Linked DNA regions of Nothobranchius furzeri. The main gene of each other region encodes a partner of the protein of the gene in region 7 in a complex. Links are inferred from orthologs where the notes say so. Each region holds a gene or a part of one and is shown on either strand. Other genes may lie near its edges.

Region 1 (2,977 bases), on a different chromosome or scaffold from region 7:
AGATTCCAGGTATGTCATTAAAATGGTATGATTTCCAACATTATGCACAGATTCGTTTTATTTAAAATACTTAACATTTTAAAAAGCCTGTCTACTATCTTATTTTGCATAACCATAATTAAATAAGATCATATATTCATTATATTTATAAACTTATAGCCATATTTTTTAGCCAGTCATTAAAAGCCTTCTAGAATTAAGAGTATTAACAACAGAAAAGCAGGATTTTAAGTTTTACACTCATAAATCTATCAGTCTTATACTTAATGATGTGGTGGAACAGCTTGTACTCATGATAAACATGTTTATTTTATAGGCCTTAGAAGTACTAGATAGACTGGCTCTGTCCAGGGTGAACCCCGCCTGGTTGCCCAGTGACAGCTGGAGATAGGCACCAGCCCCCCGCGACCCTACATGGACAAGCAGGTTCAGAATATATATATATATATATATATATATATATATATATATAAAATAAATTAAAACACTACATTTAAATCTTAAGTAAAAGTTTTTTATTAAAACAGTTACAAGTTGTACAATATTACCGATGTGTTCCACACTGACATATTTCACAGAAATAAGCCTTAAAAAACACAAAACTTAATATTTATGAAGCTACGTTTGCAAAAACAAAAAGTGACATTAAACCCACCATTATCAACAATGTCCTGTTTTACTACCAAAGGTAAACACGCTGAAGAATATTCCTGAACCTTTTGTGTTTTTTGTCTCTTCATTTTGTCAAATGAAAAAATAATAAACTGAACAAAGGAGGATGAAAAAAAATCAGTATCTGTATTTTGTAGAGTAATCCTTGGGAGACACCACCAAACCTCTTCCTTTCCTTGCTCCTCGATACACAGTTTCAACAATATCTATCATCTCCTGTTTGTCCTCGATTATCCAGTTGATCTTGTTATTGTTACCGGTGCCCAAATCAATCATGATGTGTTTGTTCCTGGAAGAGAAAGACAAAAATATCACCTTAAAATATGTTTACTCAGCTGCCCTGTCTATTGCAACATGTGGAACTGGAAGAGCTACCTGAAAAAGAACATGACAGTGCAGGGGTCGTACAACTCGTACATCTTATTGAAATCAGGCACTTCTGTGATGTCCACGAGGTAAATGACAGCAAAGTTCTTCACCTGTAAATAAACAAACCAAGAATGAATTAAACATGGCATTTGGAGCACGCCAGCAGGTAATGTGACGCGACTCCTGAATCTGAGCCAACCGGACTTTATATAATAAAGACAGGAAACAAATCAAACCTTTTCAGCGATGCTGTAAAGAACCTCGTCCATCTTCATACATGTTGGGTCCCAGTCGTGTCCGAAGCGGATGACGAGGACTCGGTCCTCCTCAGACAGGATGGCTTGGTCGACCTGCCATCCATTGTGGAGATGCGGTAACATGTACGACATCTTGACTCAAAAATGAGCAAATTCTAACCTGAAATGGATCAAATAAAGAGTTCAAATCGATCACAGCTGAACATTAAATTAAACAAACATCTCTGAGTACCAGAGAACGGTTTGACCGGCAACAGCTAGCTAGCTAGTTAGCGTTAACCATGGATACAATCTGAAAGACACAATTATGAAACTTCCCACTAAATATTCTGAAACACTTACCCCAAAATATAAAATAGAGTATTTAAGTGGCGGGAAGAAAACGGACTAACTATAGATAAAGCAGCTATGTTCAATGTGACTTCTTTTAAACCCCACGGAAAACAAACGCTTCACGACGTCATCAAATCAGCGACGCAGGAGACGCGTTAAATTTACGTCATAGTCGCTCAATTCGAAAAACTCTTTTAAAAAGTCCCAATTTATTTATTTATTATTTTTTAATGTGAAAGCCGCACACAAAAAATAAAAATTTTAAATAATTAATTATTTGAAATAATTACTTTTCACTCCAGCAAGTACTTTTAAAATAAATATATTTACGTTATGTTTTCCAGCAATATCTTTTTGGATGATCATCTTTTTGGATGATCAACTAGAGAAATACTTCTAGTATTAAATGTATTTCGTATTCATGCATGGAGAACAAACAGATTTTCAAACAGCTCAATAACAAACAGAAATTATGTTTACAGTCTAGATAACATAATTAGAAATTTGCAACATGAATACATTTTTTAGGAAATCTCGGAGCACTCTTTATTTGTAAAGCTTGTTTGCCACACTTCAATTAAAACGTGCACGTGTTGTTTGTGTACTTTACAAAAAAAACTGTTAATATTTGATGCTGTGAAGTATTTCTGATTCTTAACAAGTTCACAAATTTAGAACAATGTGTATATTTGGCACACTTGCTGTAAAATGGATACAGCTTGAAAAATGATTAGTTTGGAGTTTTACTCTGCGTTCAAACTCAAATTCTTCCACAAAAAGAGATTCCAAAGAAAAATTTGTAAAAACCCAACCCTAACTCATCATGCAATGTCAAATACTACGTGTCGTACTTGATTTTTTGCAGGCTTCCTAACACACTTTGTAAATAATAAAATGTAAACCCTTTTCAAGCACTTTAAGATGGAGTTTTTAAATATTTTCCAGCACGTTACACCGGTGTTGCACAGAGACCGTTTATACTTGTTCACAACAATCACGTCACTTTGCTGTCTCATTAAAGGAAACGTCTGCACCATAAAGTCAGTTTCAGTTGTTTTCAAGGACTTATTTAAATGCTGAAGCACTTTTAAAACTTGAAAATACCATTACGAATAAACAAATAAATCATCAATCTTTCAGTCTTACTTAGATTTAGAGACGTTATTTTATTTAAAGTGTGGGTGTACAATTCTAATAGTGGAAAAACACGAAGAAAAAACACTTATTGTGCAATTTACTGCAGTACAATCAAAGAAGAAAAAGATAGTATAAAGGTTAAAGAAAAAACGTTCCAGTCTGACGACATAGCAGCACATTGTGGCACTCCCTAGAGAGAGAGAGTCTAA
Region 2 (4,090 bases), on a different chromosome or scaffold from region 7:
CGGATTGTACTCTACACACACCCACGAACCAAAAGGACAACTCTTGAGTTTTCTAAAGGTAGATGTAGCCCAAACCATAAAGGTCAGGAGACGGATCAATGAAATGCTGCTACGTAATATTACCAGGAGACGCTCCACCGTTTGTGTTAACACGATTTGGTCCGTCTGCTCCAGGAGACGACCATAAGGGCACCTAGCAGTCCTCTCTGAGGACTGACAGCATTTCTTAGCTCCGGTCTGCTACAGCAGATGCATCGTCTCACGGTTCAGACTCTTTTGTTGCACAGGTTGTAATTATTAGTTTAGCATTAAGAGCGTAAAAGTTAGCCTTTTCTTCGGCTCTCTGGGTGTTACTGACGTCAGATGTAAATGTTTTCTTGGTGCTGGTTTTGTCTGCATGTATATTTGAAAGTTTGGACAAAGCAACGTGTTACAAATGTAAAACTTTTACTACAAACCCAGGCCTGCTTCAGTGTTTCAACATGATTGTACAAAAGGAACCGAGGCCATGAACTTTATTAGAAATGTACACAGACAAACACAGAGAGGGTTCTAAAGCGTGTTCTAATCTTCTTCGTCTGACGGTGGCTGGTCGGCTAAAGCGTTGCGTTTCTCCATCTTGGCAATCAGCTCTAGAATAAATGACAATAAAACATCAAGTGTGACTGTTTACTTTGGTTTCTGCTCCTCTTGGATGTTTTTGAGCAAATGCATTTACCTTTAGCGGGGTTGAAGACACCATTGGTCTGAGTGTTGCACACGTAGCAGCGCTTTGACTTGCGATAATGCTGAAGAGCACAGCTCTCACAAAAATAGTGCTTACACCTAAGGAAACAGCGATTACCAGCCGGTAATAAACAAGGACTGAAGGAGAGAAACCATCGCAGTACTTACTTTGTGATGATGGGATTTTTAAAAGATTCTCTGCAGATGAAGCACTTGAAGGGCAAGTCTTCATCATCACTGCTCACCTCATAGTTCTCGTCATCTAGATGAAAACACATCAGAAACTTAGTCTAGCCAGCAAAAGAGAAGATTTCAAGTTCGATTATTTACTCACCATTTGCTCCATATCTCCCTTCCTCCAGTTCCCTCTCAATCTGCCAGCCGTGTTTGTAGTCCGACCTGTCATGGAGGAACTTGCAGCTGTCTAATGGCAACGGATGCAATCATGATTAATAAACAAAACCTTTGACTTCACAGTAGGAACGTTTTAAGAGTTCAGATTGTTTTCACCAACCCCCAAATCCACAGAAACCCGTCTCCTTGTAGTCTTTGCAAATATCCGGTTGGTAGTCCCACCGGACTGTAGCTCTCAGGTGTTCAGGAGCTCGAATCGGTCCTTTTCTGTAGCACAGATTGAACGTAACCTTCAGCATCTATAGGTGAACAACATCTTCTGACTGCATGTGAATATCTCTTGCCTCACCTGACCATGCCTGAAGAGGCATTGCCCATGGTGGTGTCTTTAGGCTTGATGAATTTTTGGTAGTTATTGATGCCACGGTATATTTTATCATCTTCTTTACCTGTTAGCTCCTAATGAGACAGAGGAGGGAAAGCTCAAATGACGAAGGTGAGATTTTGATTATTTCTCATTTTATATTAACCAATAGCGGCATGTCCTACCTCTTGGATTTTCTGACTCCTCTCAAAAATAGCTTGAGCATCCTTGTCTCTCTCTGTGTCCAGCTGATAAGTGGCAGTTGCACCCATGTCTTCAGGCCCCTCGGGTTTCTTTTTATGAAGGCAAGGTACAGTAGAAAGTTTTAAAGTAAATAAAAACAACTGTTCAGGGCACATAGTCATGTGTACGTGGATGAGAATGGTCTGTAGATTGTAAAATAATGTTAAAATTTGCTTTTCTGGTGAAGTTTCAGCCCCTGTATGTTTTGTCTCAACAGCCAGGTTGAGCCATGATGGAAAAAAGATCAGTGTTTGACTTGTACTGTCTGGCTCTGACATTTTTGAATGAATGCAGTCTGAACTCACCGCTGATCGGGAAGACTTGTAAGCAACCGTTATCTTTTTGTCTCCCTTTTCCTCCTCGCTTTCACTAGAAGACACAGCGTCCCTCTCCACTTTTTTTGTCTGAACAAAGAATACATAGATCATTCACGTTGCTGCTTCATAACTAAGTATCTATTAGCTTGCCTGCTCTACCTTTTGAATCATGGGGTTGACTCGAGCATCCTTCTTTTCTTTTCTGACCACAGCAGTCTGTTCAGTGTCACTATCGCCATCTAAAACAAACAAACAAACACACACGCGCACACACACACACACACAATTGGTGTAAACAAACATTACAAAATCTATTACAATTAAACTAGGTTACTTCCCCTCTTTGTTTAAATGTAGCTTTCAGGTGATAAACCATAATGTTTTTGGTCCTGTTTATTATGGAGGATAATATAAACAAACTGTTTGGGTCGCGGTTTTGATCTCCCTGATGAGAAGCCGCTATCAATTCTATCCAGAGGACAGACAACGCTAGTTAGGAGAAAATTACAAGGAAATGTATCTAAATGATAGTTTACTACCTTTATCGCTGTCACTTGCTTTTCGTTTTCTTCCGGAGAATTTCTTGGTGGATTTTTTAAACAAAAACGTACAAGTAGCTGCTTTTGGTTTGTCTGGGTCCGCCATGTTTTTGTTGGTGTAAGAACAGTGGCTGCCAGAGCAGTAGCGCCCCCTGTTGTTCTGGAGGCGAAACGTGACGCGCTCCTTCTGCCAAAATGAGATTCACAACCGTCCATAAATCAAAGTCAACGCGGCTCTGGCTAGAATGGTAAACCTAAAATATTATGTTAGAACGGACGAGGGCCAATGAAAACAAAAGAAAAATACAATAAAAAAATGAACAGAAAGATAATTCTGACTTTAATCTCAGAATTTTCAGATTTAAATCATTATTCTTTGTTTTCAGTGGCCTTAATCCTCTTCCGTAGTACTTGAAATAATTTTTAAAAGGTAATTTTAGTTTTAAACAGAAAAATAATTAACGCATTTTGATTGGACACTAAATGTATAAACGATTAATAAACAAAATACACAAAAATAGCCATTAGAAATGTCGTTGATAAAAAGAAGAAACGATCTTTTACAAGACCGCTCAAGATAATAATCATGAGCAGGCGCTTCACAAGAACAACAACAACAACAACAACCATAACAACAAAAAACAAAAAAAGAAAGAAAAATAAATAAAAACGAATGACATAAATTTGTAAGAAAATTTTATGTTTAACTGCTTTTTGTCTAAATAATCTTTTGACGTAACTGATGCCAACACAATCTGTCTATAAGTGATTAAATGTATTGTTTATGTCAACTTGATAACAAGAACTCAATTAGTTTCTGGCTTTCGAGAGTAGGGTTTTTTCCAACCTCTGGCGGTCAGAGGCGGTTACTACAGTGTTCACATAAAGTTGAACAACACATAACCAATTAGCACTTCCTATAAATCCTTTCAAAATAAAAGAAATAACAAGAGGTCAGAAGGTCTGCAGTTATATAAACTACACAACCGATGAAGCTTAATAAATGTATCATAATTATCTGTGTTAAACAAGATTAAATTAACGCGCTAAAACAAAAACTATTAGCAGCATTACAAACACATCAGATCATACGCCCTCTGGTGGCCTATTGTCCCTCTGCTGTAGACTCAGAGGAACATCAAGTAATTCTTTTTGATTGTGAAATTTAACTAACAAGTTTGTAATTTCTTCTCAAACATTTCAGATATAAAACAATTTAGGCCACTATCAGGTGTCTGCCCTGGGATTGGGAGATCGGGTTTGAATACCGGTCTAGTCATACCAAAGACTTTAACAAGGAACCCAATCCCCCCCCCTGCTTAACACTCAGCTTTAAAGGGTTGCATTAGGGGGTTAAACAACCAAATTACTGAGCGCAGCCACTGCAGCAGCTCCCTGCTCTCCATCGGGATGTGTCAGATGTGGAGATGAATTTCACCAGTGTGATGATGACTATGGGACTTTAACTTTATTATTTGAACACACACACACACACACACACACACACACACACACACACACACACACACACACACACACACACACAC
Region 3 (4,295 bases), on a different chromosome or scaffold from region 7:
GCACAGTTCACTTCCCAATAGCAGCAACAGCCTTATATCATAACCACATAAGTGGAGAAAATGCTCAGTAGCAATGAGAGAATTTGCTGTTCCATTTAAGTGATGTTAACTATTATTTAACATTTAAACTTATTTTCTGATATTTTTTTATTTATTCAAAAACCCTGGTAAGGGATGTTTTTCTGCATTTGGAGCATCAGAAAAAGTTTTATGGTGGAGGTGATGTTTTAAAGTCACTGAGAAACTGCATGCATGCAGTTTATTGTTTTGCTACTAATACAGTAGCAGGTGCAGCTGCATATTTTTGCAATAAAAATGTTATGTTGTAATGGAATTCATGCATTAGTTTTGTTTGCTTTGAACCCAGAGCAGACGTCACACGCCAGACGACATCAACACTGCATACTTTAGTATTTGTTCATTTATCGTGAGTAATATCGATATCGCAATATTAAACACTGTTATCGAATATCGCAGGTTTTTCTAATATCGTGCAGCCCTATTCCTAATTGTGAGTCTACCTAGGCATCATCATGAAGACATACCAAAGGCAGCAGGTTCAATGGGACACGTAGGCCTTGAAATCATTATAATAAAAAAGAAAACTTCAGCAAACTATAAAGATGATTTGTTTCACTGAGCATCTTCCATGTTTGATGAACCATCTGAAACATGGCCACTCCACTCTTTCATTTCCTGCAACTAAGACAGTTTGCTTCAATGTTCATCAAGATATGCCTTTTTAGATAAAGCCCTGTTTACATTTCATCATTCAGCCTAAATACAGTACAAACACACTGTATTCAAACAAACCTATCGAGAATGGCTCTAGATTATGCAAGTACAGTCTCTGTTGATGTGAGGCTGTAATTTTCTCCGGATTCTGACACTAAGACACACTGAAAAATGAAAACATCTGAGCAGAAAAGTCACAAGTTGAATTGTTCAACAACAGACAAACATTGCAGTTTCACAACTCGTCCCAGTTACTGTCACGTTTTCCTATAGGATGCAGATGGATTTGTCTCAGAGGAAAAGGATAATGTTGTTGGTGACATGATTACATGTGAAAAACTCAGCAGGGTGTTGAATAGAGAGCATGTGTGTGTGTGTTTTATGTAAAAGGGCTAATAGAAATGCTGTAGCGTTTTTGTGACACAAAACTAAATCTTCAGCACAATCACTTCATACCTTTCTTGTAAGCGCAGCCCTGGCAGTAGTGAGATCCAGCCTGATGAACTGAGCTTTTGCAGATCCTGCAGATTGCGAAGCCAGTCTTGCTGTAAGGGTCAAACCTGATGAAAATAATTGTTACACACATGACCAGTTATATCAGCTGACCACTTTGAATTAGTAATATACAACATTGAAAAACAGTAGCTAAACCGTTGTGTGACTTCTTCTGAGGAATAGTTCAGATAAGAGTTCATTATGATGGGCTTTTTAGGAAGATTTAAGAACAAGGTGTCACCTCATATTCTATACAAATCTTACAATCAGACTAAAAACCAAATGAGAGCTACTCCTTTTCTGTTACTAATAAGGTTCACCAGATATTGTCACCTATTCCCTTTAACTTGTATATGGACGATCTAAGTTTTATTTAACTAAGAGAGCATAAGAGTGGATGAATGGGGAAATAATGACCAATCATCTCATGACTGCTGAAGATTTGATGGTCTTTTACTCTTCAGAGCAGGTTTGCAACAGTTACTTAAGAGTGTGTTCCAGCTATGATGTAAAAATCAACTGTTATGATTGCAAGAAATGAAGAAGATCAGGATTTAAACGTGGTTCATAAAGTAAAATACTAAGGACAGATGATTAATGATGATTCATGTGGTGATTTGTGCCAATGCAGCAAAATGTATGCCCAAGCAAATATGGTGGTGAGAAAGTTTTATATGATAAGGTTGAACTTTAGTAAAATAACAGTTTTTGGTTCAATTTCAAGAAGGTAATTTTAAGATAAGTATATTAATGCGTTTAGAATATTTTCTCTGACTTCTCATATTTGTATTTACATTCATTAGATTGTTGTAATTAAAGTTTATTTTTTTCTATAAATTGTTTTTACTCACCTGGCTTTTTTGGATGTCAAAATCTTGTTCTCATTTAGCTTACGTCCTCCACTCTCTGACACAAAGAAAGAAGACAAACTTGTTAAACACGGACATCTAAATGTTACTATACCTATACTAATATAAAAAAAATAAACACCAATTAATTTATATTATGGCGTGATCAACCAAATGAGGACTAAACCTGCTAGTAACGTGAAAAAATATAGAAACAATGATTACATTTTCAAAAGTAACTTGTAAACAAGACAACAAGTCTCATATCTAGAATAATTAACAAACAGCAATTTATCATACTGATGGCAAAAAAACATTTCACTACGCATTCCTCGGGTCACCTGTTGTATTCCGTGCTCCGTCCTTCCAAGTGTCGGGGGTAATTACTTTTCCCAGTTTCTTCTCGCCTAAAATATAAAACAAAACAATTATGGAGGAAAATACAATAAGAACTAAACTATTGGCCTTCTAGTTTGCATTTGAGACTTTCGCTGACAAAAGTAACGTTCATCAGATTTTAAAATGAACAATACGTCTGAAAATCAGAAGCAAATGACATACATACACTTTTCACAGACCATCTTTGCGGTGTGTCGAATGACGCAGTAGAAATGATCGTTTGTTAGCTTTAGCTTGCTTTGCTAATGTAAACGTCCGGTCAGCTGAGGCATTTCAAATGACAGGTTTCATTGGTTGCTTTAACGAGTAACATCTTCTGTGATTGGTTAAAACAATTGAGTTACGCAACGCGAACTATAACTTACTACTTCCCGTTTATTTGCTTATAGGTTCTTCAAAATAAATGTTTGATAAAGTCAAGCACTTTTACCTTATTTAACCCAAGCGTATTCATTAGCAGAGATTGAGTAACAAGTAAAACATACACCTTTTTCACTTGAAATTGAAATAAACTGACCCGATAATCTATGATAATATGTTTCGAAACGGATGTTTTTTCATCATTCACCTAAGATGTCTGTGCGCAGTAGACTTTTACTGTGAAATTAAGCGGACGTTCTTACGTCTTCGTGTTTACGGAAACGCGGAAAAGAAATACATAGACCTGACAGTTTCCCAATGTTACCTTACGTTTTTTAGGTGTTTTATTTGACTTCCCCGCATCGTTATCGGGTTCTTGTTGTAAATAGTTCACGTCTTCATCATGTGGGACCATGAAATTAAAGCTATGGCGTCTACTCACGCGATTATCACCGCCTCGGTGTTCATGGCCACGGTCATCCCCGCGGTGTTTGTCCCGGGCTTCTCAGTGTATGGGACTCACCTGCTGTGGGTCTACGCGGTGTCCGGTACGGTGACCTGTGTCAGCGTCGCTATCTTCTGGCTGCTCGGCATCTCACCGCCCACCAAAAAGCACACACTGGGATACAAGGTGCCAAAACAACTAGATAATGTTTTTAAAGTGAATTGTTGATTATGTTCGACATATAAATGTATTATGTGATATGTGAAGGTATCTTATGAATTTTACAAAATGTATTCGTTTGTTATTATTAATATTATTATTATTTGGACAGGGAAATGGACATCAGTCAACTTGCTTTTTAATTAAATTTAATAGATGTGTGAAAATGAAGGTAAGTTTTGGATATTGTAAGGTGAGGTGATGAAAAAGTAGAAATTGTAAGCGTTTCTTGTTATGATCTATTTTATTTAGGTGTGAAAAAAGTAATTGTCTCTTAACACATTTCATATATTATTTGTTTAATTTTTTGTCCCACTTAAATGGTTCAGATCAAACAAATTTCAACATCAGGCAAAGAGAACTTGAGTAAACTAAACTAAATGCAGTTTTCAAAGGATTATGTCCTTTATGAAGGGAAGAGAGCTAACAAAACCATCCGAGTTTCATTTCATTTTAATTCGGTTCATCCATGATCTAAACGGCTCATCTTTAGCGCTAATCATCATCAGATGAGAGCTAGGGGACATTCTGGACAGGTCTCCAGTCATATAGAAGGACAAACAACCATTCAAACATACACTCTCCCACCTAGAGACTATTTAGAGTCATTATTGAACCCTTTTCATGGATGTGTCTGGTCCATGGGAGGAAGCAAGTTACTGGAGAAGGGCCACACAAGCATGGGGAGAACATCCTAACTCCACGCAGAAAGGCCATGCAGGCAGGATTCGAACCTGCAGCATTCTTGCTTTGAGGCAAATAAATTTAATTTTTTCATAAAGCGCCAGTTCACA
Region 4 (4,264 bases), on a different chromosome or scaffold from region 7:
AGTAGCAGACGTTTTGTACTGTCAGGTGTTTTCGTGCCCTCACTGAGGCACCTGTCCAGAAGATTCTATCACAACCTTCCCGTAGCATCCTCAGACAGATAACGAGCTCAGACCGACGGCCTTCCTTCACGTCCGTCAGGAAGTGAAGTTTAAAGATTCGTTTGTTACTGATGAAATTGTCACTGCTGATTTCTTCAACCTGTCAGCTTTTTCTGGATTTAACGTGGTTTTTACAGTTTTCACTGTCAATTACACAACCTAGCCGGTTTTAAGTCAGGCACATCCCCAGGCAGCCCGGCACTGCTGCAGGATTTAATTGTATTTTTATGTTCCTGAATAGCATCTGCTTTAATTAATGCTCTAAAAATTATTTCCACCAAAAATAAGAGTTTGTTTACCAGTTTTGAGCATTTAATACTCGGTCAGTATCCTGATTTGTTTGATTAACTTTAGTGAGACGTCTGGTTTTAACACTGAGCAGTGCACAAGATTAAAATTTAACAGTTAAATTTAGTGTTCAAAAACCGATTCAGCTTCTGAAATTTTGTGCATTTACTGGTGTTACCTGTGACATATTAGCATGAAAATAGGGCGGAAAACATCTAGACATGAAAATCGGCACAGAACATTGGCAACACTAATCGTCCATCAGCTGTCCGTAACCTTTACACGTCGGTATCGGCAACAGAAAAACCATTATCGGTCGAACTTTACTTTTCATGGTTTGCTGCTAACATCACAACCAAACGTCTGTGAGGTGGTACAATCCTTTAACAAGCTGACGAAGATGATGTAAGCATGCCTTTTGATTAGGAATGTGTATTTTTGAAATTCTTGTGATACGATACATATCACGATACAGGGGAGACGATACGATATTTCACGATATATTGCGATACATTCAGTCAGACGTTACAAGCAATTTTTTAACTGAATTTATTGTAAGAATGTTCAATAAACAGTCCAAACTGATACGTAACATGTTTAACATGAGGTATCTGAACCATGATGGAGGGATTTACATTTCAGTGGTGGAAACAAAACCCGCTGCACACTGCTGCCAACTAGCGGGTGCTGATTGAATTGCGCAAAACGAAAATACACAAATGTTTGCATGTAAATTCTTTCAGGAATTAGATACACGGCTTTTGAATATCGATGTAATAATCGCAGGAAAAAATATCACGATATATTGCCACATCGATATTTCCGATACACGGCTTTTGAATATCGATATAATGTTGCTGGGAAAAATATCACGATATATTGCCATATCGATATTTTCTTACATCTCTACTTTTGATGGATATTGGTAGATCCGGGTGTCAGATTGCTGCAGTAGCATGTACACGTGCTTTAAATTAATCATTAAGATAAAGAATAATTTTGCTGTACTTTACTAAACCTTTTAAAGGTTTATTCCATTTGTTTTATAAATCTAAAGGTTCTGGTTTGTTGCATTACTGACTATAACAGATGGCTTGACTTAAGCTGCTCTAACAACAAAATTGTGAATAATTAATTTTTCTATCTTTTCTCATTCGTCTGGTAAACTTTGCATACTCCTAAGTCTCTTACAGCCCGTTCTGTCCCCACTTACAGATTCAGGCCGCAGGTCCACCTTTACATGGTCTCCATCCTCAAAACCCTCAGGGACTTTGTTCTGCATCAACAGAGGGATGGAGAGGTCCAGGCTTCTGTTCGACTCTGCTGCATTCTGCCATTGCTCCAGCTGCCTCCGTGAATCTACAAGCAGAAACACACAACGTCACTGATAAAGATGGTTTTCTTAGTGTTGGGTAGGAAAGTAAAAACTGTCTAATACACACACAAACCGGCCATGGAGCTCGTGCTCTTAATTGTTTTACAGTCTAGCAGGAAGACACTTCCAGGATGGGCTCCGTTTGCGAGGGGGTACACATTTTGACACGCAACCATTCATTGTCCAACTTCTGCATCTTTTTCAACCACAAACCTTCAATGAGTTCTTTGACAGCTTGAGACTCCACCGAGTCTTTGTCTTGGACCGAGCCGCGCGCTGAGCCTCCACTCGGGTCCGCTCGGTCCGGTTTGTGCCAGCGGTTCTTCTGGATCAATGGGATGATGAGCTCTTTGGGCTTCTCGGTTGGCTTTGAACTGCCACGGAAGACAAAAGTTAAATCTTTAAAGTGTCCCGGGTAGATACATTACACACACCACGTAAAAGTGTGGTCAGTCAGATTTAGAGTTCAAACGTCACCACTCCGTTTACAAACCACTGACAGCTTTAGCCTCTAGCTAGCGGTTAGCCTACCTCTGTAACTCATTTCGGTCGATTCCAGTCAGGTAATCCTTCTCGTCGGTCTTGGCTGGAATGCCGCCGGCTGCGGGTTTAAATTTGCTGACAGTTTTTGTGAAACCAAACGATACCGCCGCTGCCTTTTTATCTCCTTGGTTCTCGGCGGCACCTGAACCGTCTCCGTGCGACGCCATGATTGTTTGTGGAAGAAGAACGATGAGGGCGCAGTGCATTCTGGGAGATGGGGTTGCGTTAACGAGCCCGATAACCACTCTAGGCTGCAATTGACTACAGATCCCATCATGCCTCATAATAAGAGTTCTTTAAAGGTCGCAGGCAATCCGAGATTTACTGATTTATTTGTGAAATCCGTTGGTTATTAGTAACTAAATAATATATCAAATCATTTAAAGTAGTTAAACAGACGGTAATTACACTGACACTTGATTTAAAATAGAAAGGTACTGATGTTTAACACTTTCATTGTGAACATGTCTAGACTTGCAGGTCTATTTTTGAAAAGCTGAAACATCGCTCCGTTGAAGCGGTCATCTTGTAAACCCCTATAGTTTATCTGGAGCTTTTTAGTCTCCTGTAATAAAAAGAAACAAGAGCTGAATGAGTTGGATTAATGCGTGGGTCTGACTCCTTTAAATCGCAGATAGTGAAGCGGACTCTGGTGCTGCTGATGCAGGTGTGTTTTAGGCAGAATGTGGGCGGGGCTTTTAACTCCTCCTCCCAGTGCCTCCTGAGCGCCTGAACTTGTGAGGTTAACCTTTTCATTAGCCATGTAGCCTAATGTTGCTGTTTTTTTCTCCGCATTTGCATGTCAGCAGCATGAGCGCAACCTTATTACTATTTCCGCACCTGCTTTTGCGCAACCTCTGAAGTTCAGCGACACCTTTATTTGCTGAACCCGACATTTGTATGATTTTTTGGGGGGTAATTCGGGCTTTTTCTGTATGCATGATGGATAAACGATGAGGCGCAGAGAGTGAACATGGGGGTAAGAAACGCACTGTTCTCTTTGCACAAGTTAAAACCTCCCGTTTGGGTCACAACCATCCACGCCTTCTTGTTTTTTCCTCCTTTCTCCTTTTTGCTCGCAGCAATGTAGCAGCTGCTGAAATTATCTGCGACCGCCGTCAAATCTGCCCGATAGTGTGTGTGTGTGTGTGTGTGTGTTTTATTTTCCTCTCTCTCTCTCTCTCTCCTGCTCTCCCCGCTCTCTCGCTCTCCTCAGCTCCCAGAGCATCACTAGTGTCCAAACATCCCGTCAGCCGTGCGCATCGGCTCTGACTTTCTCCGCTGGCTCCGGCTGATCGCCTTTCATCTCATCTCCTCCAGACTCCAGACTCTTCCTCGCTCCTCCTCCAGCTCCTGCTGTTGCTCCAAACCAAACAGGTCGCGTTATTTATTAAAGTGCTGCTCCTTTTTTAACCTCGGCAGGGTCAATGTATATAGACGCGTTCAAACGGATCCTCTTTGAAAGGCTGAACTGCTTGAAGAGAATGTGTGTGTGTCAGCGGCAAGGCAGGTCAGTATTCAGTCTAAATATGAGAAATCTGAGAATCTGCTTCGTGTGTGTGTGTGTGTGTGTGTGTGTGTGTGTGTGTGTGTGTGTGTGTGTGTTTTGAGAGTTTCTTGATAGCTTTTCTATTTTCTTTATCGGTTTCAATCGCCTTCCTCACAAATTGCCTTAATGAAAACTAAACAGAAGCTCGTGCTCAGTGCACCTGCACCCCCTTTGCCATGAATAATAGACTGATTCAAATACTCTGTGGTTCACAGCCAGGTGTGTGTGCATGCATGTGCATACAGGAGCGTGCACAAGTGCCCTGCAGCCCTCTGTATGTGTGAGAGTGTTTGTTTTGGGTGTGTCCCAGCTCGTTTGGGCAGCTTGTTTTGGAAGTGATGGATTCCTGACCCTGACGGAAATGCTCCGGATCTGGTTGCAGTCAAGGTGATGCTGCTAATAGGAATCAT
Region 5 (3,997 bases), on a different chromosome or scaffold from region 7:
TGTATGAATTTATGTGACAAATAAAATTTGAATTTGATTTGAGTTAAAAGGTTAGTCTCCAACTGAATTTTGAGCACATTAGTTAAAATGATCTCCAACACTCATCTGAGTCAGATGAAAATTTGAAACATCTTCAGACATCTCCAGGTAGTTACTTTCCATTAGAATCTTATAGGGGGGGTGCAATTAATCGATGTGGCGATGCATCTAACAGCTAAACATGTTGTTTCGACATCGATTAATGAACGTCAATGCTTAAAAAAACATAACATCAAAGTTTTATTGCAACGCCGGTACTAAAAAAAAATAAAAACACGTAACCGGAGCCTTAACGCACGCGCCGCCCGGACTGTTTAGTGAGTGGCACTACCTCTTTGACCTCTTTCTCCATCCTGGAGACTGTCTCCAAACTACCGAAGAGCTCAGAGAAGGCGAGGAGCATTACAAAAGCAATAGCTACTTTTATCGCGACGGATCTACGCCCATATTCAGTAGTAAACAACAGGGGGTTTCAGTTAGTGGTGCGCACCATGGAGCCGCGCTAGAAACTTCCTCACCGAAAACACTTCGCAGAAAAGGAAGTCCCCCACCTCTACGAGGAAACCAAAGCTGGAGTCCATGAAGAAGGCAACCGGGATAGCGCTCACATGCGATGCATGGACATCGGTTGCCACCAAATCCTTCGTTACTGTAACGGCGCATTTTGTTCTCGCGCCGGACAAGAACGGGTGGAAGTTGGTGAGCCACGTTCTTCAAACTCGAGAGATGAGTGAGGGTCAAAGTAGCACAATGTTGACATTTACCCATCTCACACAACTGGAGGATGTAGGGGACAAGAAGGAGGGGAGGGAGTATGGGAAGACAGCTAAGATTAAGATGAGTATGAGTGTCACTCTGCTCTATTTTGTTGTGTTCGCCTCACAGTACTGAAGCTCCAAGCTGAATACAGGTTCAGTTGAATTATGCACTTTTGTTCAGAAAAAATGCAACATATTACCTTCAAATATAGCAGGTTTTTTTCTGTTACCTATATTCCAGACTGAATAAGCTGAATTATTTTATTTTGAGGAATGCACTTTTGATCTGTATGGCAGCTTTTTTTGTAATGTTATCATATGCCAGACTCATTAAGTTTCCATTAAATAAATTCAGTGGAAGTAAAAATCTTGTTTACTTGAATTAATTACCTCATTAAATCCAGGGCTTGCCTGTTTTCAGTGTTTCCCAACAATGGAGGAGACACTAGTGTAAGTAAAGCTTTCCCTGACCAAAGTTAAGTTTGTCAAAGTGCAAATATTTACACGTCATACAGTCATAAAATAAGAATTTGTCTTTGAAAAATAGTTAAATGTTAAAAAAATGTATTTACTTACAGAGAGCAGTTGTAGAGGAACTGAATTAATTGATAGGTTATTTATTTACAAATGTAGATAAAATAGAAGACAATCTTGTATGAAAAAACATTAAAAATGTCAATAATCGAAGAATCGTGGCTCCAGTAATCGAATCGAACCAAAAATCATTATAATCGAAGAATCGAAGCATCGAAGCTCCAATAATCGAAATTGAATCGAATCGTGAAGTACCCTTTTTGGAACATCCCAAGAGTCTTAGCACTGAAATGTCCTGGATGACTGAGAATCTACATCTACATGCTTAAAACTTTTAAAACTTTTCTCCAGTTTGCAGTCTCTGTTAAACAGGAAATGTTTAGGCTTTGTAACCATAGACACTTGTGGCATAATAAGATCAACAAAACAATACTATGACTCACCGTGATGTCTTCTAATGACGAGTCAATGATCTCATAGTTATCTGGCAGACAGTAAAACTTGAGTGTGTGCAGGTTGAGGAACACATGATGGCTAAACTGGACACTGTGAGTGTATGCATGAGACTTCTGACCTCTGCCTGCAAGAAAAAAACAACACCAGTGTGTCAAAGTACTAGCCTAGTGAACTAGACCAAATTCTTGCTTTGCAAAGTTTTATTTAGTGTGGCTTGCCAGGCTATCAAAGTGCACGAGCATGTTTAATCATGTAGGATTGAAGGTTGGATAGCTTTACCTACCTTGAAAATATTTCCCACAGATGAGGCAAGCATAAACATTAATGTGGGAGAGCGAGATGGAGCAGAGCTTTTCAAAATCAAAATCAAGCACACTCCTGGGAAATTAGCATAGACAGGTTAATGGTTGTCAAATGTGCTAATTAGCAAGCAATGCTAATATCAGTTGCTGATATGTTTCTCTTTCTTGCCTGTTTATGGTGTCAAGGTAAGGGCAGTGGCGACTTCTTCTGTCTTCTACTGCATGTCCTCGGCCCCTTTTGATTACAACTGCAAAAATATGATAATTGTAACTAACAAGACAAACTAAAATGCTACATAACAATGTACAAGCTAATAGGCTAAACATGCTAACACGATAGCTGTGCTGTTACAGAATGTTTTTTAATTAAGCAAAGTGTTATTCTATGCATTAGTTACTGAGGATGTCTAATGACCATTCAGGAAGTGACTGTACAAAGTTGTGCATAAAATCAAATTCTTTTAGTTAGCTTCTTAGCATCCGGCTAACGTTACACTGACGTTAGAGATAAACATACTTACCTCCGTCTTCGTTATCATCGTCGTCCAGCTCAATTTCCCTCTCTCGTTTTAGGGAAATCATATCTGTTATCCTGCGAGCCTGGTATCAAAACAACATAGGAATAAACTAACTTATTTAGAAGATTTTTTAGATGAATGGTGACTGACCACGTCGAAACTCGCGGTGGTTGTACGCTGAACAAAAAAAACAAAACCTATTCCGGTGTTAAGAAAAATATTCTACCAGAAATTTAACTTTGTTTTTTTTTAGCGCAGGAAACTGTTAATTTACAACATGTGTTTGTTTTATTTGTACACAAATACTTGAATTGTTATTGTACTTTTTAATTTAAGATGTTAAATGTGATCGTTCCTGCAGCGTTAACTCCGGAAGTGATTTATTGGACAACTATTTACAGCTAGCTAGGTGCTATTTAGCTTTTGTCTGAGGTCTGATTAGGACCTCTTATAATGATTTAACCAATTGGTAATTTATTGCTTTACAACCATTTAATGACATGGATATTTTAAGAGATGATGGAGGGCATGAGCTAAAATACAAACCAGGTGGGCGTTTGGATATGAGCCATGGCTTCTTGCACCATATCCGCAGGAACCAGATTGCTAGGTAGGTAATTTCCTCAATTTCTCTCTGTTAATGCTAGTTGAAAATGAGACACTAGGTTAATATCAGCCTAAAACCTCAAAGGCGATATTCTTTTAATCAAACGTTACGTTGATTTGGGGATGCTGAAAAGGTCGTAGCTGATGACATAAACGCGTTTAGCCGCTAAAAACAATTTATAAGTTTGCAGGCCTAGCCAAATTATTGCAGGTTTTAGCAGAATATGCATGAAACTTATTGTTTTAAATAACTATTTACTTTGTTTTGAATTGCAAAATACATACAGCATTACACTTTTAAGTTTATGATCAAATGACTGGAAGTATGGAAACAACTAAACCTAAAGTCGTGTAACTGAAATTTGTATGATCAAACTGTCACTTGTCTTTTTTCAGAGATGATTATGACAAGGAAGTGAAGCAAGCCAAAAAGCTAAAGAAGCAAAGACACACTGCAACCCCAAAAAGACCTCGTCGACCTGACATCCAAGTCTACAATCCTCGACAAAGACGTAAGATTTGTGTAATTCTCCCCAGGATCATTCTGTTGAACTATGTTTTCAAATGCTGATCCCTAATATCCACCGCCCCAAGTGTTTTCCAATGCTTCACACTTCAAGATGCCTGATGTAAATGGGTACCGAGCTCTAGCTGAGTTTGATCAACTGATGGGATCAGGGATCAGATCACAAGAACCAAGACTGGGAATTCCTGCCCCGAAGGCATGATAGTGCATGTATGTTCTTTTCCAGGTGGATCTGAGCCAGGTACCGGTGCTGATGCT
Region 6 (4,093 bases), on a different chromosome or scaffold from region 7:
TAAAAAGTCTAAAACTAGAAAGTATTTAAAAATAAAATAACATACATGGTAAAGAAGAGACATAAATGAATATTCTGAAATGATTACAAATCAGGTTTTATAGCAATAAGCTGAAAAGTATTGTTTCTGTAGAAAATCTCGTTTGTGCTGACCTCCTGTGGTTGAAGTTCTCTACTTGCAATAGTAATGCACTCTGCTCGCCTTCAACACAGACCATAAACGGTTTCCATCAACATATTTTTCATTTCTATTTTGAGTTTTATGAAATATTTCAGGTTTATTAGAATAAAACTGTTCATCCTGTAAAATTATAAACTAACAGAGTTATTTGGGGAAAACCATGCATAAATAAATAAAAGTTTTGGCAAAAAGGGAAACAAAAGAAGCATCTAATTTAGCTTGTTTTATTTGTTTCTGGCTGCTGGCGTTTTTAATTCTCAGCCTTCCCCAACAGAACTGAAAAATATTCTTTCTACACATCTTCATTTATTAACTCAAAGAAATGCAGCATGTACCTCATGTAGGTCAACATCTATGAGATTTGTTTAAAATAGACAACTTGATGGAAACGCAGCAACTCTCGAGTGCAGTTAAATAAAAGTGCAACAGAATGCACGTTATACTCAACAGAAGTGCAACTGATGCAAAACTTGCAATCAGGGGTGGTCAGTGAGACAATACTTTTCAGGGTTAAAACAAATTTTTATTTTTTATACTTAAAAATAAACCATGGCATTTTCTAAACCCTTTTCTGGATTAATGAAGGTAGTTGGCATCTAAAAATGCCTACGGAGAATATGATAATGGAACTGTTCAGTTGTGTCTTTCACTGACAAGATGTAGATGATCCCTATATACAACTCACCTCAAAACACACACTGCATCATGAAGGGAGAGTTGGGCTCAGAGACTTTGGGCTCAGGAGAGAGCTAATTAGATGTTGGTGCTATACTTCTGATGCAAGGTATAACATCCATATTGGTTCAGGCCTTTTAAATCATAAATCACATCATCATTAGAAGACTGCTAAATAAAAAGGCACGTTGTCACATAACAGCAAAACAAGATCTACACAAATAAACCAACTATTTTTTACTTTACCCATTCATTCTCAGTTTGACTAGGATGTGCATTTATTTTACTAACATCCCTTCTTGCTGGCTAAGCAATGCCCTGAATTACAACAGCTCTGACAGAAAAAAAATAAAACAAACAGAGGAAAAACAATACCTTCTCTTCAAGTTGGTTGAATATGAACTCAATGACCACATCATCCTCAAAGCCAAGAATCTCTGTCACACGTTGGGTAATCCACGGTTTGATGACTTCCAAGTTGACTTTGGTCATGTCCACCTGAGAAAAAACAGGCAAGTCAATATTTTTAAAAAGTGATCATCTTTATACTCATTTTATTGGAATAAGCAGCATTACACAGGCACTCAGATGCAATTACCAAATGCATTTATGCAAAATAGTCACATTAATGGGTTATATCTATTACAGATGTCAGGTCACACAAGGAACAGACTTATTTGGGATTTTTACTTGGGTATTTGCCACAAATCCAACCTCTACAACAAATCCTATTCAAAATAAAATATTGACGTACACAAGCAGATTACATATGGAGAAGTAAGATATGTCTCAGCGGCCCTAAAAGAAAATTTTTGTTTTCATTTAACATTCAGAACAGAAAAACCTCTGATTGTTACGGTTTGTCTGGGATATGATGAATAGGTCAGAGGTCTCCAAAGCGCTTTACACTACAGTGTATCACTCATCCAATCACACACACATTCACATGCCGATGGTGATGAGCTACAATGTAGCCACAACTGTCCTGGGGCTCAATGATAAAAATGAGGTGCTACCGGTCCCTCTGACCACCACATGTTTGGATGCTATATGATGAGAAATAACCAGAATAACAGTTTAATCACCATCAGGAGATCACATACCTTCTTGTCCAAACATTCTGCAAATTTCAGCTGCTTCAGTAGTTTTTTCTGCTTGTTGCTGAAACGGTTGTCCTGCTCCGCACTCGTACCCTAAAATATTCAACAGATAGAAATTAGTGTATTCGGGTTACACATGACACTGAACTAGCAACAAGCTAGCTAGCCGGTTGCTAAGTACTAACAAGGAAGATTACATTAGCAAGAAAGCGGTGTCAACGATAACAGCGTCGATATAAATGTGCTCTTAAAGGTCTGAATGGTGTCAGTCTTCAATAAGCCGAAAGTTAAATGTACCAAAGTAACGTTGGCGTAACATGGTCGTGACTAGCTCGTTTAGGCACAACACCGGGCGCCATCTTAAGCCAAGGCCAACAATTTAGCTGCACGGACCTGTCTAATTCCTGAGAAGACTATATGAAAATTATACCAAAAATGCTGAGATGCGTTAGTAAAATAACATAACACGGGCTCAAAATAATACAATTATCAGTTTCATAAAAACAATACTAATTTCCAAATTAGCTACATTGAAAAGAGGACTGACTACAAATAGCAGAATCGTTCAAAATCAGTTGATAGACGGAGCCATTACCGCACCGCTTCTATCAAGTGTGGCCCTCGACCAAACTGTAAACGGGATATTAATGCCAATTTATTAACATTCAGCGCGACACAAATTTATAAAAATGATAGATGTTTGTTTCAAACACTCACGCGGAAGAATCCCGCGTCCATTCTCGGTGAAAATCGATTGTTTCAAGCGCTGCGGAGAAAGAAGTGCGTCCCTCTGGTGAAGCTCGAGTGGCCAGCCGGATGCAGAGTGAGCCCCTACAGGATGTAACGAGTACTGCGCTTGCCCGCGTCATTTTTTATTTCTTTCCACTTATTGACAATTCTTATTTTTTACATTAATTTCTAAATATATCAGTTTCATATTTTATTCAGTTCATACATTTTTTATTCCGTTTTTATATATTTAAAAGTACTTTACTGTAAACCATATACATTGAATACATGAAACCTCTAAGTGGCATTTATTAGGACTGGTATATTTAGAAAACAAGGAGTCAGAATCTTCACCATCTCCATGGTTTGGGGGTACAGTTACACTCCCTCTGCAAGGGGCGAGGGTTGCTATGTTGGTTTGGTTCCCCTGTGCTTGGTAGCCCTTTGTGGAGTTTAGGCCAATGGGGAATGGGGTTGTCTGGCTCCTGGCTGACCTGCATTGGCGTGATGATGATGTGCTGGGCTTGGGACTCCAGGACTGACAGCCCCAAGTGGGTTCCCGTTGGCTGGAGGCTGGTGTCCTTTCGTCCTCAGGCTGGTTCCCCTTCTTGCCCAGGTTGGGTTCATCCCATCATCTGGGATGGCTGAATAGTGTTGGTTCTTTGGGAGCTGTTGGTTGTTGGAGAATTTGTGGCCACCTAGATCTGCTGCTGGTAGGACCTGGGCTGGCATGGAGCAGCTCCTCCCTCATAACATAGACAGTATTTTTTTAAACACTCCTGGTGACAAATCTTCATACAGACATTCCAATACATACTAGCAGATATCAACCAATATCAACTGGATGCATCACAGGTTGTCCTGGATGAAGGTAAATGGCAGATTAGTCTGTAGCCTGATTATTTCTTTGCAGAAAACTTGGATATCACATAAACCTTTCAGTTTGTTCACAAAGTTTCTACCGACATGTAAAAGACATGGTTTTAACACAAGGAGAGCCTCCCAAGTAACCTTTACCCTTCCATTGCCAAAAACGAATGCCCTCAAGAGAAGTCATTTACAGAGCTGTTTCATATTGGAATATCCGGCCTCCAGGAGTGGCATTAATAAATAATCATGGCAGATTCAAGAAAATTCTTAAGACTTTGGTCATCCATAACAACTTAAAACTAAATGACTGATGTGGGCTTTTAAATTAGTTTTTAATCAATTTCCCTCTGGGATTAATAAAGTATTTTTGAATTGAATTGAATTGAATTATAGTTATTAACTGGCCGGGGGTGGGGGTGGGGTGGGGTGGGGGGGGTGTTGGTATTTTCTTATTTGAATGATTTTATCTTTGCTGAATTTTCTTATTAATGGATACATTTGTTTAAATGTTTTGTATGTTCTTTTTCTTACACTGTATA
Region 7 (3,994 bases):
CCCTCGGGGTTGCTGCAGGAGGACGCGGGTATTTATGAGAGGAAAACGAAAGTAAATAAATGTTTTGTGATCAGTATAATTCGACAAAACCACGGCAAACATGCTTTCTCGACAATCCTTGTTATTGTGTGAGAAAATAAAGTGTAGAAATTAAAACGGACGTGTGTTAATAGGGAAACAGCTGGCGAGCCATGATTGCGCATGCGCCGTGAGCGGTTCTGGTTCTGTTTGGGCCGCAGCCACTCGCAGCGCTACTTCAACAGTTATCCTAGTTTTTGTCTGGCTTGCAGGCTCGTAGATTCTCACACCGGGGGAAATTAGCTCAGGTTGTTTACTTATTTTTTGCACAGGCATTTGTTTACTGTGAAGTAAAGTTGAAGTGCTGAAGTTTTGCAAACTGATTTTGAATAAAACTTGAAGAATAACTGGCAATAGCGTACTCATTTTAAGAGGTCTTTCATATTTTATAACATGCTATTTGATATAATGGTTTACAAACACAAAAGGGTCATTTATTAGAGTACTCGATTAATCGATAAAAGATTTGATAGAGTACTCGATTAATCGATAAAAGATTTGATAGAGTACTCGATTACAAAAATATTCGATAGCTGCAGGCCTAATTCCTGCATCTATATTCTTTCCAGTGGAGGTTTATGGATTAGACTTTTAAAAAGCTGTTAGAACTTCATCAACTGCTGTTGAACTGATTTGCATTTCGCTGACAACTGGGTGCATATCCTAGATATTGTTCCCAAATATACATGCAAACATTTGAAAACACACCCTGCTTTGGGAACATTTGTATTTTACTGCTGCTGAAGGATAAATAGGCTGCTTTGTTAATATTAATAAGTAAAATTATAATTACATGAAGTTTCCTTAGACATTTTGGAGCCATGACTTTATTCACTTCAGTCTCTTTAGCAAAAATTCCCTCAAACTGATCAAACAACGCCCCCTGCTGGACACGAAGATAAACACCTTTCAGCAGTCTGACTATGATCTGAAGTTGAACTGATTAAAGAACATCAGTGAGCCCTGGTTCTGCATGTTTTAGTTCCTTACCTGCTCCAACACACCTGATTCAATAGCTTAATTCTTCTGAAGCAGCTCATTATTCGCCTAATGACTCAAATCAGGTGTGTTGAAGCAAAGAAACATAGAAAACAAGCAGGATGATGGGTCTAAAGAGCTGAATTTTCCTGGGGTACAAATTTAATTTTATCATTTATTTTGATTTGGCTTAACCAAATTTATGATAATAAAGAAGTCTGACACAGATAAAACCACACAATAAAATCATCAAGCAGTAGCAAATCCTGAGCAGGTATACAAATAATTAAATGGTTTATTTTTCCATGTGAGAAGATTCTGTGGTTTGGTTGTTAGGAGGAGAAACGGCACCCACCTGCATGTTCATGTATCCATCCACAGACACCAAGTAGCCTTTATACTCCATACCCCACTTCAGCTTCACCATCACAGGTTTTCCCGTCAGGCCGTTCAGGAAAGGCTTCGGGTTCAGAGGTAAACTCTGTAGAAGAAGAACAGAGGTCAGCAAAGCCATTACATCCCACACTACTGAAGAAAATTAAATGCATTTAACGACTACATTTCATGAATTTGTAACGCTGCTGAACAGCAGCGTACCCCCAGCCGTCCGTCCTACAACACAGATACTCCTCACTCCAACATGAAGGAAATCCGGATTCAATTAAACGTTTTTGCGTAGAATCCAAACTTTAAATCTACTGCAAAGTAAATCATTTTTATTGACTTTACTAATGAATTACTTAATGGCCAAACAGCTGTTTAACCAATCTAATTTTATTCATAAAAAACGTTTAATGAATCAGCGCAACTGATCTGTGTAATAAAACAAGCTGTTAAATCCTAATAGTGTTATTTTTCTTTAAATTGCATTATTTTGTTCAATCACTATTAAATTTTAATATGTTCTCCCATAACACAAAGGTTAATCCGGGTCAGGTGGTTTAATAAAAAGGTTTAAATGCTTTACTGCTGTTTTATTTACCTGCAGCGTCAGCCTGACGAAGTTTGCAGCCGCAAACGAAACGTTGCAGGCAAATAAAACCTTTCTGTGTTTTAAAAATAACTAAAAGATGGAATTAGAATTTCAACACAGCAAGCACACACCAAAGATGCTCTTAGCTCATTCTGAGTCGCTTGTTTTAAACCGATCATCTCTCTTAAGGCTAGCTACAGGACACCGTGGACTTAAAGGCCTGAGGAGTTAGCTCACATTATAAAGATTAAATAGCTAAAGGTCGAGAGACATATTATTAATATATATTCATTTCCTTATGGAAGCTTTTGATAAACGATCTTAGCGAAATAGTTTGGACTTTATTTTGCCAGGAAGCGAGGGGATGCTAGCGGTTGATGTAGCCTCTGCGGTCTTTTCTCTTGTTTATTAACAGTGATGAACGAGTAGACGGCTTACAACCCAAAGGGAATAAGAAACCGAAGATTTATAACACCAGTTTTGTGTTAATATGTGTTTGAGGGTGTGAAAGGTCTAGGTCGAAGTTATGAATGAAAAGCTAACATGGCTAACGCTAAACAACAAAAATACACTGAATTAAATCCTGATAGTTCATTCGCAAGACGATAAAGATATACAACGTCTTACTCACCATTTTATATCAAATTAAACAGCTTTAATAAGCTAAATCAAAAAAGTAAAATATGTTCGTCTCGATAACGTTTGCAAACCACGAAGCACGCTTTACCGCCGACCGGAAGTACAACTTTCCGACCTGGGCACGAGTCTCCGTGCTTTAAACAGCGCCTCCCAGTGGCCGGATGAGCGAACTGCTACCCAAGTGATTTAGTGTAAAGCTCCAAAAGTTTCCCCTCTTCCTCTCATTTACAGTCACCCATTGAACAGTAAACTGTGAGCTGATAAACGAAACGTGAATTAAACACCTACAATATGTATGCACGATCTCTGGGGTTGATATGTCAGTTGTTTATAGAGTATCTGCTATATGTTCGTGGCACGATACAGAAATAAAGTCCAGTCCAAAAAGTTGTATCTCCTCTACATTCACAAAAGAAAATGGCAAAAAAAATCAGTTATTAAGTCCAGGAAAAACTAGTAATAATTTTCTTCAAACTCGTTTTCATTCTCAGCAACAAGATCATGTCATCTGCCTTGAGTTGAACTCCTGCTCTATTTATGTCATGCAGGATCAGTGACTGATTGAAAACATATCGGTTTAGGAGCTAAACCTGGCACGACTGTCATAACTGGGTCATGCTTGCTCTCTGCAGCTTTGTTTTTCTCCAGGCACAAGAAGCCCGATGTTTAAAAAATGTTTTCTGCTCTGAAGCGTTTGTCTGTTACCAAAAAGTCAGGCAAGTTCAAACCTGCCATGGTGAATAAAACCGAAATCTGACTTCATTCAGCAAATGGCTGGGTTTTGTCAGAAAAATTCCTATGAAATTGCTCTGGATCTCTCTCTGCATGTTTGAAATACTTGTTTCTTTACATCACTGAGTATTTTCCCGACCTCACCTTTCCAACGTGTAATTAACCCGTCCATCAGACAGTCTGGTCTCAGTTATGGGATGGAGACGGTACGCGAGGTTTAGAGAAGTGGCCAGTCAGAGGGTGCATGAGTTGTATGAGAACTACTGTTGGCATGAGGCGTAATAAAATCTGTTACAGACAGACAGACCGACTGAACCGATAAAGAAAGCATAATATATTTTTCATGTGTTTAAAAACGTATTTAGAGCTGCAAAATGATGAAGAGACACAAATAAATTTGCAGTGTTGCAAAAACTGTAGTCACAAGAAAGTAACTCGTGCAAAGCAACCAAAAACAAAAGGGAAATTATTTATTAATTAAATATGATTTTAAAATAGCAAAATTAGTCTTACGAGGCTATAAAATAAAAAAGATGACATTTTCACCAAATGGTCACAAAGATTAGAAGTTATGAAATAAAAATCATTTAAATT

The links.
Region 1: snrpf (region 7) and txnl4a share a complex: the UniProt entries of both Homo sapiens proteins name them as parts of the U4/U6-U5 tri-snRNP complex. The link is inferred for Nothobranchius furzeri from reciprocal best matches to the Homo sapiens genes SNRPF and TXNL4A.
Region 2: snrpf (region 7) and rnf113a share a complex: the UniProt entries of both Homo sapiens proteins name them as parts of the minor spliceosome. The link is inferred for Nothobranchius furzeri from reciprocal best matches to the Homo sapiens genes SNRPF and RNF113A.
Region 3: snrpf (region 7) and cript share a complex: the UniProt entries of both Homo sapiens proteins name them as parts of the minor spliceosome. The link is inferred for Nothobranchius furzeri from reciprocal best matches to the Homo sapiens genes SNRPF and CRIPT.
Region 4: snrpf (region 7) and gpkow share a complex: the UniProt entries of both Homo sapiens proteins name them as parts of the minor spliceosome. The link is inferred for Nothobranchius furzeri from reciprocal best matches to the Homo sapiens genes SNRPF and GPKOW.
Region 5: snrpf (region 7) and usp39 share a complex: the UniProt entries of both Homo sapiens proteins name them as parts of the U4/U6-U5 tri-snRNP complex. The link is inferred for Nothobranchius furzeri from reciprocal best matches to the Homo sapiens genes SNRPF and USP39.
Region 6: snrpf (region 7) and srrm1 share a complex: the UniProt entries of both Homo sapiens proteins name them as parts of the minor spliceosome. The link is inferred for Nothobranchius furzeri from reciprocal best matches to the Homo sapiens genes SNRPF and SRRM1.

Annotation. Positions count from the first base shown.
Region 1 is NC_091751.1:22,095,006-22,097,982, reverse strand, and holds txnl4a (thioredoxin-like protein 4A), read right to left. Parts: upstream 1,786-2,977; 5' UTR 1,641-1,785; intron 1,459-1,640; 5' UTR 1,431-1,458; coding exon 1,278-1,430; intron 1,152-1,277; coding exon 1,048-1,151; intron 962-1,047; coding exon 790-961; 3' UTR 501-789; downstream 1-500. UniProt on the Homo sapiens protein: Plays a role in pre-mRNA splicing as component of the U5 snRNP and U4/U6-U5 tri-snRNP complexes that are involved in spliceosome assembly, and as component of the precatalytic spliceosome (spliceosome B complex).
Region 2 is NC_091745.1:10,008,282-10,012,371, reverse strand, and holds rnf113a (E3 ubiquitin-protein ligase RNF113A), read right to left. Parts: upstream 2,704-4,090; 5' UTR 2,650-2,703; coding exon 2,544-2,649; intron 2,244-2,543; coding exon 2,164-2,243; intron 2,092-2,163; coding exon 1,993-2,091; intron 1,738-1,992; coding exon 1,630-1,737; intron 1,540-1,629; coding exon 1,430-1,539; intron 1,348-1,429; coding exon 1,241-1,347; intron 1,151-1,240; coding exon 1,061-1,150; intron 989-1,060; coding exon 895-988; intron 826-894; coding exon 719-825; intron 633-718; coding exon 565-632; 3' UTR 501-564; downstream 1-500. UniProt on the Homo sapiens protein: Required for pre-mRNA splicing as component of the spliceosome. As a component of the minor spliceosome, involved in the splicing of U12-type introns in pre-mRNAs. E3 ubiquitin-protein ligase that catalyzes the transfer of ubiquitin onto target proteins.
Region 3 is NC_091756.1:43,772,589-43,776,883, forward strand, and holds the start of cript (cysteine-rich PDZ-binding protein), read right to left. Parts: upstream 2,801-4,295; 5' UTR 2,660-2,800; coding exon 2,644-2,659; intron 2,486-2,643; coding exon 2,420-2,485; intron 2,137-2,419; coding exon 2,082-2,136; intron 1,296-2,081; coding exon 1,192-1,295; intron 1-1,191. Other genes in the region: pigf (phosphatidylinositol-glycan biosynthesis class F protein), read left to right, coding at 3,241-3,468. UniProt on the Homo sapiens protein: As a component of the minor spliceosome, involved in the splicing of U12-type introns in pre-mRNAs. Involved in the cytoskeletal anchoring of DLG4 in excitatory synapses.
Region 4 is NC_091755.1:41,971,939-41,976,202, forward strand, and holds the start of gpkow (G-patch domain and KOW motifs-containing protein), read right to left. Parts: upstream 2,801-4,264; 5' UTR 2,590-2,800; coding exon 2,294-2,589; intron 2,137-2,293; coding exon 1,976-2,136; intron 1,747-1,975; coding exon 1,601-1,746; intron 1-1,600. Other genes in the region: membrane-associated guanylate kinase, WW and PDZ domain-containing protein 3, read left to right, coding at 3,733-3,815. UniProt on the Homo sapiens protein: RNA-binding protein involved in pre-mRNA splicing. As a component of the minor spliceosome, involved in the splicing of U12-type introns in pre-mRNAs.
Region 5 is NC_091757.1:46,437,229-46,441,225, forward strand, and holds the start of usp39 (ubiquitin carboxyl-terminal hydrolase 39), read right to left. Parts: upstream 2,801-3,997; 5' UTR 2,672-2,800; coding exon 2,611-2,671; intron 2,338-2,610; coding exon 2,259-2,337; intron 2,166-2,258; coding exon 2,071-2,165; intron 1,912-2,070; coding exon 1,775-1,911; intron 1-1,774. Other genes in the region: c17h2orf68 (UPF0561 protein C2orf68 homolog), read left to right, coding at 3,108-3,217, 3,610-3,725, 3,966-3,997.
Region 6 is NC_091758.1:35,727,494-35,731,586, forward strand, and holds the start of srrm1 (serine/arginine repetitive matrix protein 1), read right to left. Parts: upstream 2,801-4,093; 5' UTR 2,694-2,800; coding exon 2,673-2,693; intron 2,049-2,672; coding exon 1,959-2,048; intron 1,354-1,958; coding exon 1,231-1,353; intron 993-1,230; exon of another isoform or gene 866-992; intron 1-865. UniProt on the Homo sapiens protein: Part of pre- and post-splicing multiprotein mRNP complexes. As a component of the minor spliceosome, involved in the splicing of U12-type introns in pre-mRNAs. Involved in numerous pre-mRNA processing events.
Region 7 is NC_091741.1:34,923,132-34,927,125, forward strand, and holds the start of snrpf (small nuclear ribonucleoprotein F), read right to left. Parts: upstream 2,801-3,994; 5' UTR 2,664-2,800; coding exon 2,661-2,663; intron 1,538-2,660; coding exon 1,412-1,537; intron 1-1,411. UniProt on the Homo sapiens protein: Plays a role in pre-mRNA splicing as a core component of the spliceosomal U1, U2, U4 and U5 small nuclear ribonucleoproteins (snRNPs), the building blocks of the spliceosome.